2 linked regions of the Kluyveromyces lactis genome follow. The protein of the gene in region 1 purifies or fractionates together with the protein of each later gene. This does not show direct contact. Links are inferred from orthologs where the notes say so. Each region holds a gene or a part of one and is shown in the gene's direction. Other genes may lie near its edges.

What was found.
Region 2: the proteins of SSL2 (region 1) and TFB6 purify together in Saccharomyces cerevisiae (affinity purification with mass spectrometry; 4 studies listed by BioGRID, with this or other methods). This does not show direct contact. The link is inferred for Kluyveromyces lactis from reciprocal best matches to the Saccharomyces cerevisiae genes SSL2 and TFB6.

What each region holds. Positions count from the first base shown.
Region 1 is NC_006041.1:1,154,021-1,161,210, reverse strand, and holds SSL2 (TFIIH/NER complex ATPase/helicase subunit SSL2), read left to right. Parts: upstream 1-4,390; coding exon 4,391-6,967; downstream 6,968-7,190. Other genes in the region: DNA-binding protein SRL3, read left to right, coding at 1-210; LPX1 (triglyceride lipase), read left to right, coding at 738-1,829; KLLA0_E13069g (uncharacterized protein), read right to left, coding at 1,929-2,177; SRP40 (Srp40p), read right to left, coding at 2,759-3,865. UniProt on the Saccharomyces cerevisiae protein: ATP-dependent DNA translocase. Component of the general transcription and DNA repair factor IIH (TFIIH) core complex. When complexed to CDK-activating kinase (CAK), involved in RNA transcription by RNA polymerase II.
Region 2 is NC_006039.1:1,119,467-1,125,352, reverse strand, and holds TFB6 (TFIIH complex subunit TFB6), read left to right. Parts: upstream 1-2,506; coding exon 2,507-3,526; downstream 3,527-5,886. Other genes in the region: GTPase-activating protein RGS2, read left to right, coding at 423-1,436; SOG2 (Sog2p), read right to left, coding at 3,564-5,886. UniProt on the Saccharomyces cerevisiae protein: Component of the general transcription and DNA repair factor IIH (TFIIH) core complex, which is involved in general and transcription-coupled nucleotide excision repair (NER) of damaged DNA and, when complexed to TFIIK, in RNA transcription by RNA polymerase II.

The sequences.
Region 1 (7,190 bases):
AATAATTCTACGTCTGCTGCTACGATAAGTGCTTCTGATATTACTACTACTGATTCAGATAGAACTAGTAATCCAAGCGATGATAGTGACTCTAAACAGGGTCCTCGCCCTTCCCTGGGCTCGCCAAAACTGACGAAACCCGTCAAACTGAGTTTGCATTCGGAGGTGCAAACTGACGTGGAGACTGACGTAGAGTCTCAAAGCGAGTAAATGACAATGCCTTTTTTTCTCTTTACCCATTTCACTTCATTTTGGTAATCCCATATCTGCCTGTTTTTACCTTAATAATTCTAAATTCTTTCTCTGTTCTTATTACACTAATCTCTTCATAACATCAATCAATTCAAATACATCTCTAAACTAATTGTAACACAAGTCTGACATATCTAACTAACATTCATAGAAAACTAAACACAATAAGCTTTAACCAAGAGTATTCTTCCCCAAGCTTAATCTGCATGCAGAGTTCCCCTATGAACTTTGGGCCTGTTTCCTTTAACATACTTTTGGAGAAACGGTCTTTGTTTCATTACTCATTGCCAAGGATTATGTCCGAAGTTCTATATTCTTCTCCACTTTAAGTCAGTTTGATCCAGATATAAAGATATATAAGTAAACATATATGGATTATAAGTATGTCCCCATGATGCTTGATGGTGATAATCAGTTGAATGTGTAATCTCTTAGGGCACATTATTGATATCAGGTTACAACTCCCCTAATAATTCAGTAATAATATGATAAAATCGACGAAAAGGGTGACTGCAGCTGTACCAAGAACTGATTACCGGAGTACGTTGAGTGGGACCGACGTTCTTGAGATTTTCTACGATGTCTACGAAACTGAGGATCTTAGAGCTGTTCCCGAGGTTAACATCGTGTTTCTACATGGAACGGGTATGACAAAGAGCATATGGGAATGGTACGTGAAATATTTCCACAAACAGATCCAAGCGAACCCTGAAAAATACCAGTATAAGCTTGGGAAGCTAATAGCAGTGGACCAAGTGAACCATGGTGATTCCTGTGTTGCCAACGAGGGGAAACTTGGCTCTATATTCCATTGGATCGATGGTTCTAAGGATATTATCAAGATATGTGACGTTGAGTTAAATCCTCCAAAACAAAACAGTTTCAACGTACTGATTGGGCATTCTATGGGTGGGCATCAAGCTCTTGGTTGCGGTATACTATCTCCAAACTTGTTTCAGCTTATCATAACCATGGAGCCCGTTGTTAAGATGCTTAACCCACCAAGTCCAAAGAAGATCACGCTTTTGAGTAACAACTATTTCAATGCTATTAGCAACATGGTTCAAGACACCTTTGCCACAAGGGACGAGTACGAGGAGTTCATGAGGAAGCGCAGCTTTTGGAGAAACTCTGATAAAACTATTTTAGATACTTTCTGTGACGCTGAGTTGATAAAACGAGGATCGAAATTCCACACGAAGACTTCAAAAGAGCAACACCTCATCGGGTACATGTGTCTCCACCCCTATGCTTACTGGTTAATTGACAACTTGAAATGGATTGAAAGCCCCGTGATTTGCTACGTGGGTGGTAAATCTAAATGGTGTCCGCCGGAAAATTATCAGCTGTTACAGGACACCATTCCTCATTACAAACGCATCCAAATCGACAATGTCGACCATCTTATGAACATTGAAAATCCGAACGTAATCGGACCGATGCTTCTTGGCCACATTACGAAAAAACTCCAATCAGCCTCAGTGGATGAATTACACAACAATAGAGATCAGTTCGAACCATTGTACAAAGAATTAGTCGCTACACGAGTCGTAAATAAACCCAAATCAAAGTTGTGAAAGATGCGGTTTTAAAGTTATAGCAGAAAGGATATCTGTTAATGTTACTTATGAAATTATATACTCAATGTAAAGAGCTTATTTCCAGCCTTAGTTGCCTTAGTTCTTTTTAGACTCGGTAGAGGTTTCGGCTGAACCAGAGGTTTCAGTAGAGTCCTTCTTTTCGGAAGATTCACCCAAGAAAGATCTAGCTTGGTCTTCGAACTTCTTGAAGTTTTCTTCTCCGACCTTAGTCTTGATTTGACCCAATCTTTCTTCACCCAAGTAACCCTCAGCCTTCTTGACCAAATCTTCACCGCTTTCACTTTGTTTCGATGCGTAGCTCTTAACACTGTCTAACAAACCCATGATGCTTCTATTCCTGATTTTATTGCTTGCTTTCTTGCTTGCTAATAATGCCTTATCTGCAAATACGTAATCTTGTGAAACTTTAATTAATATGTAAAGAAGAAGAAGAACTTATCAAAGAAACTTCTTTTCCCGGCCTCTATTTATGGCAATTACAAAAGTAACAAGTAATAGTCTTTGCAACCTTGCCTATCCGAGAGAGGGGTAACCAATGCTTACCGGCCAAAAATGTGGGTACCCAATGGTGTGCATCGTTTCCGTTCGCGACTTTTCAAAAACTTTTTTCCTAATCCGTTTGTTCGAGCCAAGATTCCTCACAGCTTTTTCAGCAACTTCTATGCATCTTAATTGGGTGCGTGTCAAGTGTGGCATTTGGTTCCGTCCATATTGGTCCGGAATTGACAAAGCGGTTTATTGTTCAATGACAAAGGTTTTTGAAGGTTTATACAGTTTAATACACAATAGTTTCGATTGTAAGTATATATTGGAAACAGTTTTGTCTCTTATTCCAAAGAGTTAGATGACGATGGTGAATGATGGTAGTTTATGGTTTTCATTAGGTGAGAATTGTTTGGAATTGATCAATCAGTAAACTTATAGGAGCCAGAAGCCATAGTGATAGACCCACCTCTGTAAGAACCTCTTTTCATCTTGTTTTTATTTTTAGTGAAATCTTTTCCTCTCACACGGCTCAACTTATCGTTGGCCATTTCACCCCAGGTACCTGCGGCACCTTTGTATGTATTATCTGTCAGGACTTCGTGTTCAAATGCAATCTTCTCTCTTTCGACTCTGGAGAAATGTTTTCTTTGTCCAGGCAATACTTCATCAACGCCAGCTGAAATCATTTGTTTCTTTGTTGAAGGTTCTTGTGATGATTCTTTGGAATTTTCAGTGGAATCAGATTCAGTTTCAAGAGGACGTTTGCTGTTGGTTTCGGTTTCTACTGCAGTTTCGCTATCGCTGCTATCGGAGTCGCTAGATGAGGAGGACGAATCTGAGGACGAATCTGAGTCTGAGTCTGAGTCTGAGTCTGAGTCTGAGTCTGAGTCTGAACTAGAGTCCGAACTAGAGTCCGAGCTGGAGCTAGAGCTAGAGTCTGAATCTGAATCTGAACTAGAGCTAGAGCTAGAGTTTGAATCGGAGTCTGAGTCAGAGCTTGAATCGGAGCTAGAGTCTGAATCGGAGCTAGAATCAGAACTAGATTCCGAGTCCGAGTTTGACGATTTCGACACCTTTACTTCCACTGCTACTGGCTCAGATTTTTCATCTTTTATCTTAATTTTGATGTCTTTTTCGTCCTCATCATCGGATTCTGAGCTGGCACTGGAGCTAGAGTCTGAGTCGGAATCAGAGTCTGAGCTGGAACTAGAGTCTGAGCTGGAACTAGAATCTGAGTCTGAACTGGAGTCTGAGTCTGAACTGGAACTGGAACTGGAACTGGAACTGGAACTGGAGCTACTATCAGAGTTCGATTCTGAATCTGAGCTAGAGCTTGAACTAGAGTCTGAGCCAGAATCCGAATCCGAATCTGAACCTGAACCTGAACCTGAACCTGAACCTGAACTCGAGCTGTCGCTGGAATTGGAACTAGACTCTGAACCACTTGACGATGATTTTACCTTTTTGTCATCTTTCTTCGTCAATTTTGGCACTGAAGACTTGGAACTTTGCTTCTTAACACTCATCTGTAAAAATTAGACTATTTCCTCACCCAAACCACTGGTGATCCTATCGTAATCGCTCTTGGATAAGATCTGAACCTACCTCATCGCAAGCTCATCTCGTTTGGATAACGCTATTAATCTCGAATTTTTTTTCAATACGTTTCTTTTGCCGTACTATGTGACGATGTCCTGAGGTGTGGTGTATGGGTTGTTTCAGTCTTACAACTACTAAAACTGTAAAAACAACTAGCAAAACCGGCCTTTTCGTCTATTCGGCAACCTCGTTGTTGTATTGTTAATCGTGGAACTACCTAGTGGTTGCAATGGTTATTAGTTGGTCATCCAACTCTAACTTATATTGGGTTTTTGGCTCATTCTGGTTATATTGTTTGTCCGGGTAATCATTTTTGCCTCAACATTATTAATCTGAAAGATGATTTTAAGAGAACTTTAACTTTAATTAGATGTTTAAGAATCAAAGTCCAAGGACGGACAAGGGAATTAAGGTCTATCCCCGGAGTCTATCTGTACACTAATTGTGTCATTATGGAAGATGAGGTAGTGAAGCGTTCATATCACACAAGAAGTAGAGGTGGAAAGGAGAAATTAGTGCAGGACACGGTTTTTTCAGATGACTCTTTGGTTACAGACGATGAAGAATACGGGGATATTGCCCCAGATATCGACGATGATGTCTTAGATGAAGAAGAGGAAGCTGAGTTAAAGGAATCTCTAATGCAGGCGAACGCTCCTGCTCCTCAAGTGAATCCTCTTTTGAGTCGGAAATCGAAGAAAAGTTCTTCTTCTTCTAGATCTGCTGCTGCTGCAACTGCTGGTAGTGGAATGAACCATAATCTAGCAGCAAAGGATGATATCCTTCATGCACATTTGGACGATATTCCCCCTGATTTTGAGCCTGACGTTGTTTCAGGAATGTTCAAGACTAACGATTTCAGCTACTTAAAATTGAAGCCGGATCATGCCTCGCGGCCTTTATGGATATCGCCTAACGATGGACGTGTGATCTTAGAATCATTCTCTCCATTGGCAGAACAAGCACAGGATTTTCTTGTGACGATCGCAGAACCCGTTTCTAGACCATCTCATATTCATGAGTACAGAATTACGGCTTACTCTTTGTATGCTGCGGTTTCGGTTGGTTTGGAAACTGAAGATATCATAGCAGTATTGGACAGATTGTCCAAGGTTCCTGTTGCACCTTCGATTATCAACTTCATTAAGAGTGCAACTGTATCATACGGTAAGGTGAAATTGGTCATTAAGCATAATAGATATTTCGTGGAAACTTCTCAAGCTGATATCTTGCAAATGTTGTTAAACGATCAAATCATTGGTAATCTAAGAATCGATACCGATGCTGCAGTGGATGCTGCGGTTAAGAAAACCATGGCGAATAAGATGGTAGATGCAGAGGGAGTGGATCCTAACGATGTGGAAGCTGTCTTTTCAGCTGTCGTGGGGGCCAATAAGGAACTTGAAGAAGAAGACGATGATATAGATGCGGTTCATGCTTTCGAAATTGACAATGCATCTGTCGAAATTGTGAAGAAAAGATGTCAAGAACTTGACTATCCGGTGTTGGAAGAATATGATTTCAGGAACGATCGAAGAAATCCAGATTTAGATATCGATTTGAAACCATCAACTCAAATCAGACCATATCAGGAAAAATCCTTGAGCAAAATGTTCGGTAACGGTCGTGCAAGAAGTGGTATTATTGTGTTACCATGCGGTGCTGGTAAGACTTTGGTCGGTATCACAGCGGCATGTACTATCAAAAAGTCTGTGATCGTGCTTTGTACTTCGTCAGTGTCAGTCATGCAATGGAGACAACAATTCCTTCAGTGGTGTACGCTCCAGCCTGAAAATGTTGCCGTCTTCACATCAGATAACAAAGAAATGTTCCAAACTGAATCTGGTCTGGTGGTCTCGACTTATTCCATGGTTGCTAACACTAGAAATAGATCGTACGATTCTCAAAAGGTTATGGATTTCTTAACGGGTAGAGAATGGGGTTTCATTATTTTGGATGAAGTACATGTCGTACCTGCAGCCATGTTTAGACGTGTTGTGTCCACTATTGCCGCACATGCAAAATTAGGTTTAACTGCAACTTTGGTGCGTGAAGATGACAAGATTAGTGATTTGAATTTCTTGATTGGTCCAAAACTTTACGAAGCTAATTGGATGGAACTTTCACAGAAAGGTCACATTGCTAATGTGCAGTGTGCGGAAGTTTGGTGTCCAATGACTGCAGAGTTTTACCAAGAATATCTAAGAGAGAATGCGAGAAAAAGAATGCTACTATATATTATGAATCCAACCAAGTTCCAGGCGTGTCAATTTTTGATTCAATATCATGAAAAGAGAGGTGATAAAATTATCGTCTTTTCAGATAACGTCTACGCTCTTCAAGAATATGCTTTGAAGCTAGGTAAGCCTTTCATTTACGGTTCCACGCCACAACAAGAGCGTATGAATATTTTGCAGAATTTTCAATATAATGACCAAATCAATACCATTTTCTTATCAAAGGTTGGAGATACTTCGATTGATTTGCCAGAGGCGACTTGTTTGATCCAAATTTCGTCTCATTACGGGTCTAGACGTCAAGAAGCACAAAGATTGGGTAGAATTTTAAGAGCTAAGAGACGTAACGATGAAGGGTTCAACGCCTTCTTCTATTCTCTAGTTTCTAAAGATACTCAAGAAATGTACTACTCCACAAAGAGACAGGCATTTTTAGTTGATCAAGGTTATGCTTTCAAGGTTATCACCCATCTACATGGTATGGAAAACTTGCCTAATCTAGCATATTCTTCTGCTAGAGAACGTAGAGAACTTTTGCAAGAAGTTCTTCTCAAAAACGAAGAAGCTGCAGGCATTGAAGCAGGTGAGGATAACGATAGCTACATTTGGAAGAATGGTGGGAACAAGAGACCAAGGAACAAATCTAAGGCTGTTAAGAGCGAAGGATCTTTGGCTGGTTTGGCTGGTGGTGAGGATATGGCATACCTAGAATACAGTTCCAATAAGAATAAAGACTTAAGAGATCATCATCCATTGATCCGTAAAATGTACTATAGAAGTGCAAATAAATGAACAATATTGGGTTTTATAATTTATCATCCGTATTAAACTGGCATACTTTAAACAGCAAATGAATCATCTTTCCAAAAATCGCATCACGAATCAGTTTTATAAAATCCTAATACTTAAATATACCACATATAATCACTATAAAAAGATGTTTTCGTCCGCTGTCTAAAATAAACAAAGAAATGATTGCTTTTGCACAGTGAATTTCAACAGTATTGATATTGTA
Region 2 (5,886 bases), on another chromosome or scaffold:
ACTTCGATCTCAAGGTAGATATCAACAAACTTTTACTTATTCAGTAACTCTGCTCAACAAGGTTACTTCACTGAAAGATTTTCAGAAGGTATACTACTTTTTTTTTGAGGAAAAACCGTTTAGTGTTGACGAAAATAGTATGAAAGTCTTTTGAATATTGGAGTGACACTGACTTATACACGGAGAGAAAGAGATATAGATTATAGAAATAGTGTTCCCCCACCTCACGCATTGTATCATTCCCCTTGTATTAAAAAAATAATATTAACCAGCGACCACGGATATTACGCTCTCTCTCTCTCTCTCTCGCTCTTCTGGTTGATTTTGAATTACGTTTAGCATTGATAGATTAAAAACCGCTGGACGTTAAACTTCTGAAACTTTACGACACAAGGACAAATAAGAGTCCTGGCAATCATATAATGCTTCAGCTAGAGGAGTTGTTAGATGAAGAGCTATCCTGTATTCATCATGATGAAATTTTAAGTGGCTTCCATGATTTCTTGGCCAAACCACATTGTGATGAGAACTTATGGTTCATCAAAGCCACAAATCCATTCATGAACCCGAACTCAAAACTCTCGTTTACACATTGGAATGACGTTTATCGTCGTTTCATCCAAGAAGACGCACCAAAAGAATGTAACTTCCCAGAATCAATAAGGATCTGTTTCGATGAAGCCTTCCGTAAACACGGCCTACCAACTCACGAAACTATAGAACAAGCAAGGCTACACATTGTAAACTTACTACAAGATGCATACAGTAAATTTCAAAGAAACTCTGATATACCGGATAATATCAAGTACACCGACTGCTACTGCCATAAGGACGGTACTCTTTATCACCATTCTGACACAGATAAAGACCAAAATACCTCTCACTCTCACACCACTGTGCTGACACAAGAAAATATAGACTTGGTAAGTCCAATCCTGGATAAGCTTAGCGAGTTCGCGTTGGAGGAAGAAGATGAACTAGAAGAAGGTGACGACGAGGCAAGCGTCGGGGAACGTTTGGAGTATCAAAAGGCTAAATCTACTGCCACATTCAGATCACGGACACGATCTACTCCACCACTAGTATCAACACCTCTGAGACCAAACACTCCACCTTCCCCCTCGGCTGAATCCACATCATCTACCCAAAAATCTTTTGGTAGCTCTCGAACTCCACAAGAGAAAATACAGCACGTCTTACCTCCTTCCCTAACGCCATCTCTTCCCTCAGCTCAAAGGCTGAAAAAATCTCATAGATATTCCATCTCGTCCTCCTCGAAGGGATCAACGGCCTCATCGTCTTCATCAGTGTCGTCTCAATCACCGACAGTTAATAGCTCATCACAAAAGTTCTCGAAATTGGTACACAGACTAAAATTCGGCAGAAGTAGTAGCAGCAGTGGTGGCCAAAGTGGTCCTCAATCATGGCAATCCTAAACTGGTTCTATTTCCCCACGGTATCTAAAAAAAATAAAAGAATTACAAACAGATCAGCACCTGCATTTTAAATCCCTGAGCACAGTGTCGAACAAACAGAAAATTCGTTTCTGCAATATTAAAACCTGATTACTTACAAAAATACTAATACCACACACTGTGTAGACATGCGTTTGTTCTTGTTATTTTTCTTTTCTACTTTAGAACTCTGCTTCGCCTCACCACCCAGGTGATTGCAAAATTAAAAAGTTCTGATCTGCTCTACCCTTCAGATTGTATCCTTATCATCATAATAAAAATCATTAAAAAGAGTCCTCTAATTGCACATACCCATCTTCGATTCTTAAGGTTTACGTCAGCATCATTACAATCATCTGTCGCTCTTTCATTGTCAACTTCTTTTTTTCTATGCCGCATCATGATTTATTTGTCCTTTTCTAATGAACTTCTTGTGGAATTATCATTCTTCTTCAATTACGTTTCAATGAAATCTGTTTCCTGATCACTTAGTCTAATGTATAATCTCCCAGGCTGAATCGGGATAGACAAACCCGAATCATGTTCTACATACAAAACAATCATACGTAATTTGACTGTAATCCTATAGCATAATATTAACATTTATATCTTCGTATCTGTCGGAAATCCTTCAACTCCTCTATGTATTTATATCTATTTCCTCACCTTAACATTCCATGGGTTCGATCTAAGACCTCAGCCATATGTACTAAAGGACTGGTTATGTCCTTAATAATTCCAGTAATATGGTGTGTTTTCTTCTCTTTTCAAGATATTTTCGTTACATCATGAAAATCCACATATGATTATCTGGGGAATACTGTGAAGAAAGAATTATCAATGAACACAAGAACTGAATATTAAAGGTGCTATCTTTAAGAATTCCTCTACATCAATATCCAACAGAAATCATTCGCAATCAACTAGAGAGGAAACTACTAGAAGATTATTACCTGTTCGTGAACATTTTCATGCTTATAGCAAGGCGGTTCATCTCTTAAAGTTTTAAATATAAAGCAAGATTTTACAGTTGTAAGAAACATTTTCAATTAATGTCATCCATTCCAACACCAACTACGCCTACCGCGCATGACGCAGGTGAACATGAAATCAACGAAATAAATGAGGACGAGCTATTGCAATTAGATTTGAATCCAGATTTGGATGATGTGGAAGACGTAATAATGGAGGAAGATAATGAAGGATCGGTACCTCCGACCCTGAAACGCACATTCATCGATAACGAGAAGCAAAACCCGGAATTCGATGATCTGGAAGATTTTAAGCCTGTTTTGGACATCAGGTCTCCGTTTGAATCTCACGTCGATTTACCACAGTTATCACGCACCCAAGAAAATGGCCCAAATTCAAATGCGAGAAGATTATCTTTATCCCAGCAATCTAAATTCGTATCTTACATAGACGAAAGACTATTGCAAATTCAGAGAAAATTCGTCCAAAGTAGAGGTTTGAATAAAGAGCAAGGGTATGAAAGTCTTTCACAAGTCCTTCTCGACTTCAAGAAATTGATCGATTTAATCTGGTATTCAGTCGATGGCGTCAGCAACACTGACGCTATTTTACAATTAAACTTGGATGACACTGCTCTTTACCAAAAATATCAAGGTTCTGAGTCAACCGATTTTGGTCAGTCATATTATCTAATCAGAATTTCAGACGATCTTCTAGATTATTTGGATAAATTTCCATTAACCGAGCAAGATGAATTTGATGATGATAACGAGACCAATGGTCGTTTTGATAATGGTTTTTCAAGTAATATAGGCCAATCCATGAAGCCTGAAACGTTTAATGCAGATTCACCCCGTACCCATGGATCTTTAAGAAAGCTATTTAAATTATTGTCTATATTAGACTTTATTTTTGCTAGATTAATTGACGGGAAAGTTCCGGGGAACTTTAGAATAAGTGGAACAGAAATTGTTAGATTAATTGGAATAGCTGAGAGGACCAGAATATTACTACCGAAATTAATGGAAAAGAATGACATTCATGGCTATCACTATGAAATTTCAAGGGTGTATCAAGAAACCTTAGAGAGAGGTACATAGCATACGTAAATACAGGATGAATACAAATGCATTATTATCACAGTTGATCAAATGGATTCACATTGTGAGAAGTCACCAGCGAAGGCGTAGATAATGGTGTTATTATATTCGAAGCTGTATGATCCGTGGTATCTCCATGCTGACCTGCCGGTGATCCTTGATTCGTTGTGTGATTTTGCTGTTGTGATGGCGCATCAACAGAACTTGCACCAACATATGAAGGGTTTGAGGATGACTGCTGATTGGTAATGGAAGCACTTTTGTAAGAGCTTAGATCGAGTATAACAGTAACATCCTTTGTAATTTTAGCTAAAGAGGCTAGATTAGGCCTCACGTCATTCAAAGTCGGCAGATCACTCATGATTTCCTTTGTGTTGGCTAGAATAGCTATGATTGACTTCAAAAATGCATTTATATCTTCCCAAGTTTTGAGCTTTTCTTTAGTAACCAAATATGTGTCAATATCACTATTGGAAATCACATTTAGTCGTTTTTTTAACACTTTCGATAACTCCATGGATTGGAAGCAAGTATCTGTCAATTCTTTTGTTTTTGCAGCAACCGTAGGAGTTATTGAAAGCTGATCGGAGGTAGTACTAGCTATTGCTGACTTTGTTATTGCCTGCGTCAATTGTGAATATACAACGTTAACCATATCAATAACTGTATTCAACGTATGGTATAGCTGCAGGTCTATATCCTTATCTGCAAGTGCTTGTGAGGGGATATTGGAGGTATCGGTGGGTGCGGCACCTTGTGTGACTGTGGAGGCAGTTGATTGCTCACTGTAATTTAGACTGCGAGGTGGTTTCGGTGAAGAATCTAGTATAGGCGGTGTTGTTGAAACTTCAGATATCGGTGTAGTCGTGAAAGATGTTGGATTAATTGGCGGGGTAACCTGTTGGCCATTTTGATTCGCATAAGGACCATTTATACCTGGTGTGTTGACATTAATTGCAGACTGTTGGGAAGAGACGCCACTCAGAGAAGAAGATCGATTAATAGCAGAAGACGATTTTTGCCTGCTGTTTAAATACTTTTGGTACTGAGCCATGTTCATAGAATGAACTGAATGCGTTCTGGCTAGCTTTTTCTTTTTCATCATTTCCTGGTTATCCAAAACAAGTAGTTTCCAGGCGTTGAATATTTCAGTATACGAACATAATATGTTCATGTAGAACACCCTTAAAAAAAACACGTCGTTATTGCCAAAAAATGCAGTGAAGTTCTTTCGAAGTTGAACAAAAATCTTTTTGAATATAGAAAGTATGGTCAAACATAGTCGTATCAAAACATCATGATGAAGGAACTGACTTTGCGTTATTGAAGGATCATTTTGTTGACTATTATTTTCAAATTGTTCCAAGACTTCAACTAAATTATCAATATGAGACTTGAGACTGTAAAGCTGTGACACAACATTAACCGAAATGGTCTTTTCAGAACATAGCGATGTTATCTTCCTAATGTTTTGCTGACACTCAGTGAAAGTGAACAAAAGTTTCCTGCAAGCTAGCACAACATTTTCCATAGATTTTCTTTTCTTTTCATGATGTGTCTGTAGTAATTCTTTATAATTCTGTTCATCTGTTTCCTCTTCTACCTCTTGCAAATTGGGTTCCTCTGGCAGAACAGATAATCTTTTGAAGTATTCGTTGAATTTTGAATGAGAGTAAAGATCAAGATCGCTCTGGGGAGACGTGAGATTATTCTCATTGTCTTCCGAATCATGTGAATTTCCAATAAAGCCCATTCGTTTCGCAGCCCTTGCTATCTTTTGTTGTGGATCCAGAGTTGTAACTGCCGGTGTTTGTGAAACGGTATTGTCACTGAAGAATTTTCTTAAGGCTATAACCCAGTATTCTTCCGCAGAGCACTTGGAACTAGTAAAACCTTGTAGAACCTTCTCGATAACATCATTTGGAAAATTATTCCCATCTAGTTCAAGGACTCGTAGATTCTTTAACTGGGATATTATAGGAAATAGTGTCTTGATGGATGTTAGATTGTTGTTCCTCAATGAGAGTGTAACAAGGTTATCACACCATGTCTCTGGAAATTCTTGAGGTAGCTGCCATATGTTGTTGTTAGAAAGATTTATTTTTTCTAATCGAAGGCATTGCATTAACGATGGAGGAATATCATTGAATCTGTTATCAGAAAGATCGATGGTTCGAAGATTTGTCAACTTTTTAAAGGATCCGGGAAGCTGTGTTAAGTTATTCTGGTGCAAAGAAAGGTTCTCAACTAGTTGAAGCAGCTCAACAGCATCATCTGTTATTGAAGACAAACCAAGATCAGCTAATGAAACTGCTGTGTTATCCTTCTGATAAATCTCTTTATTAACAGGGTGCATCGGG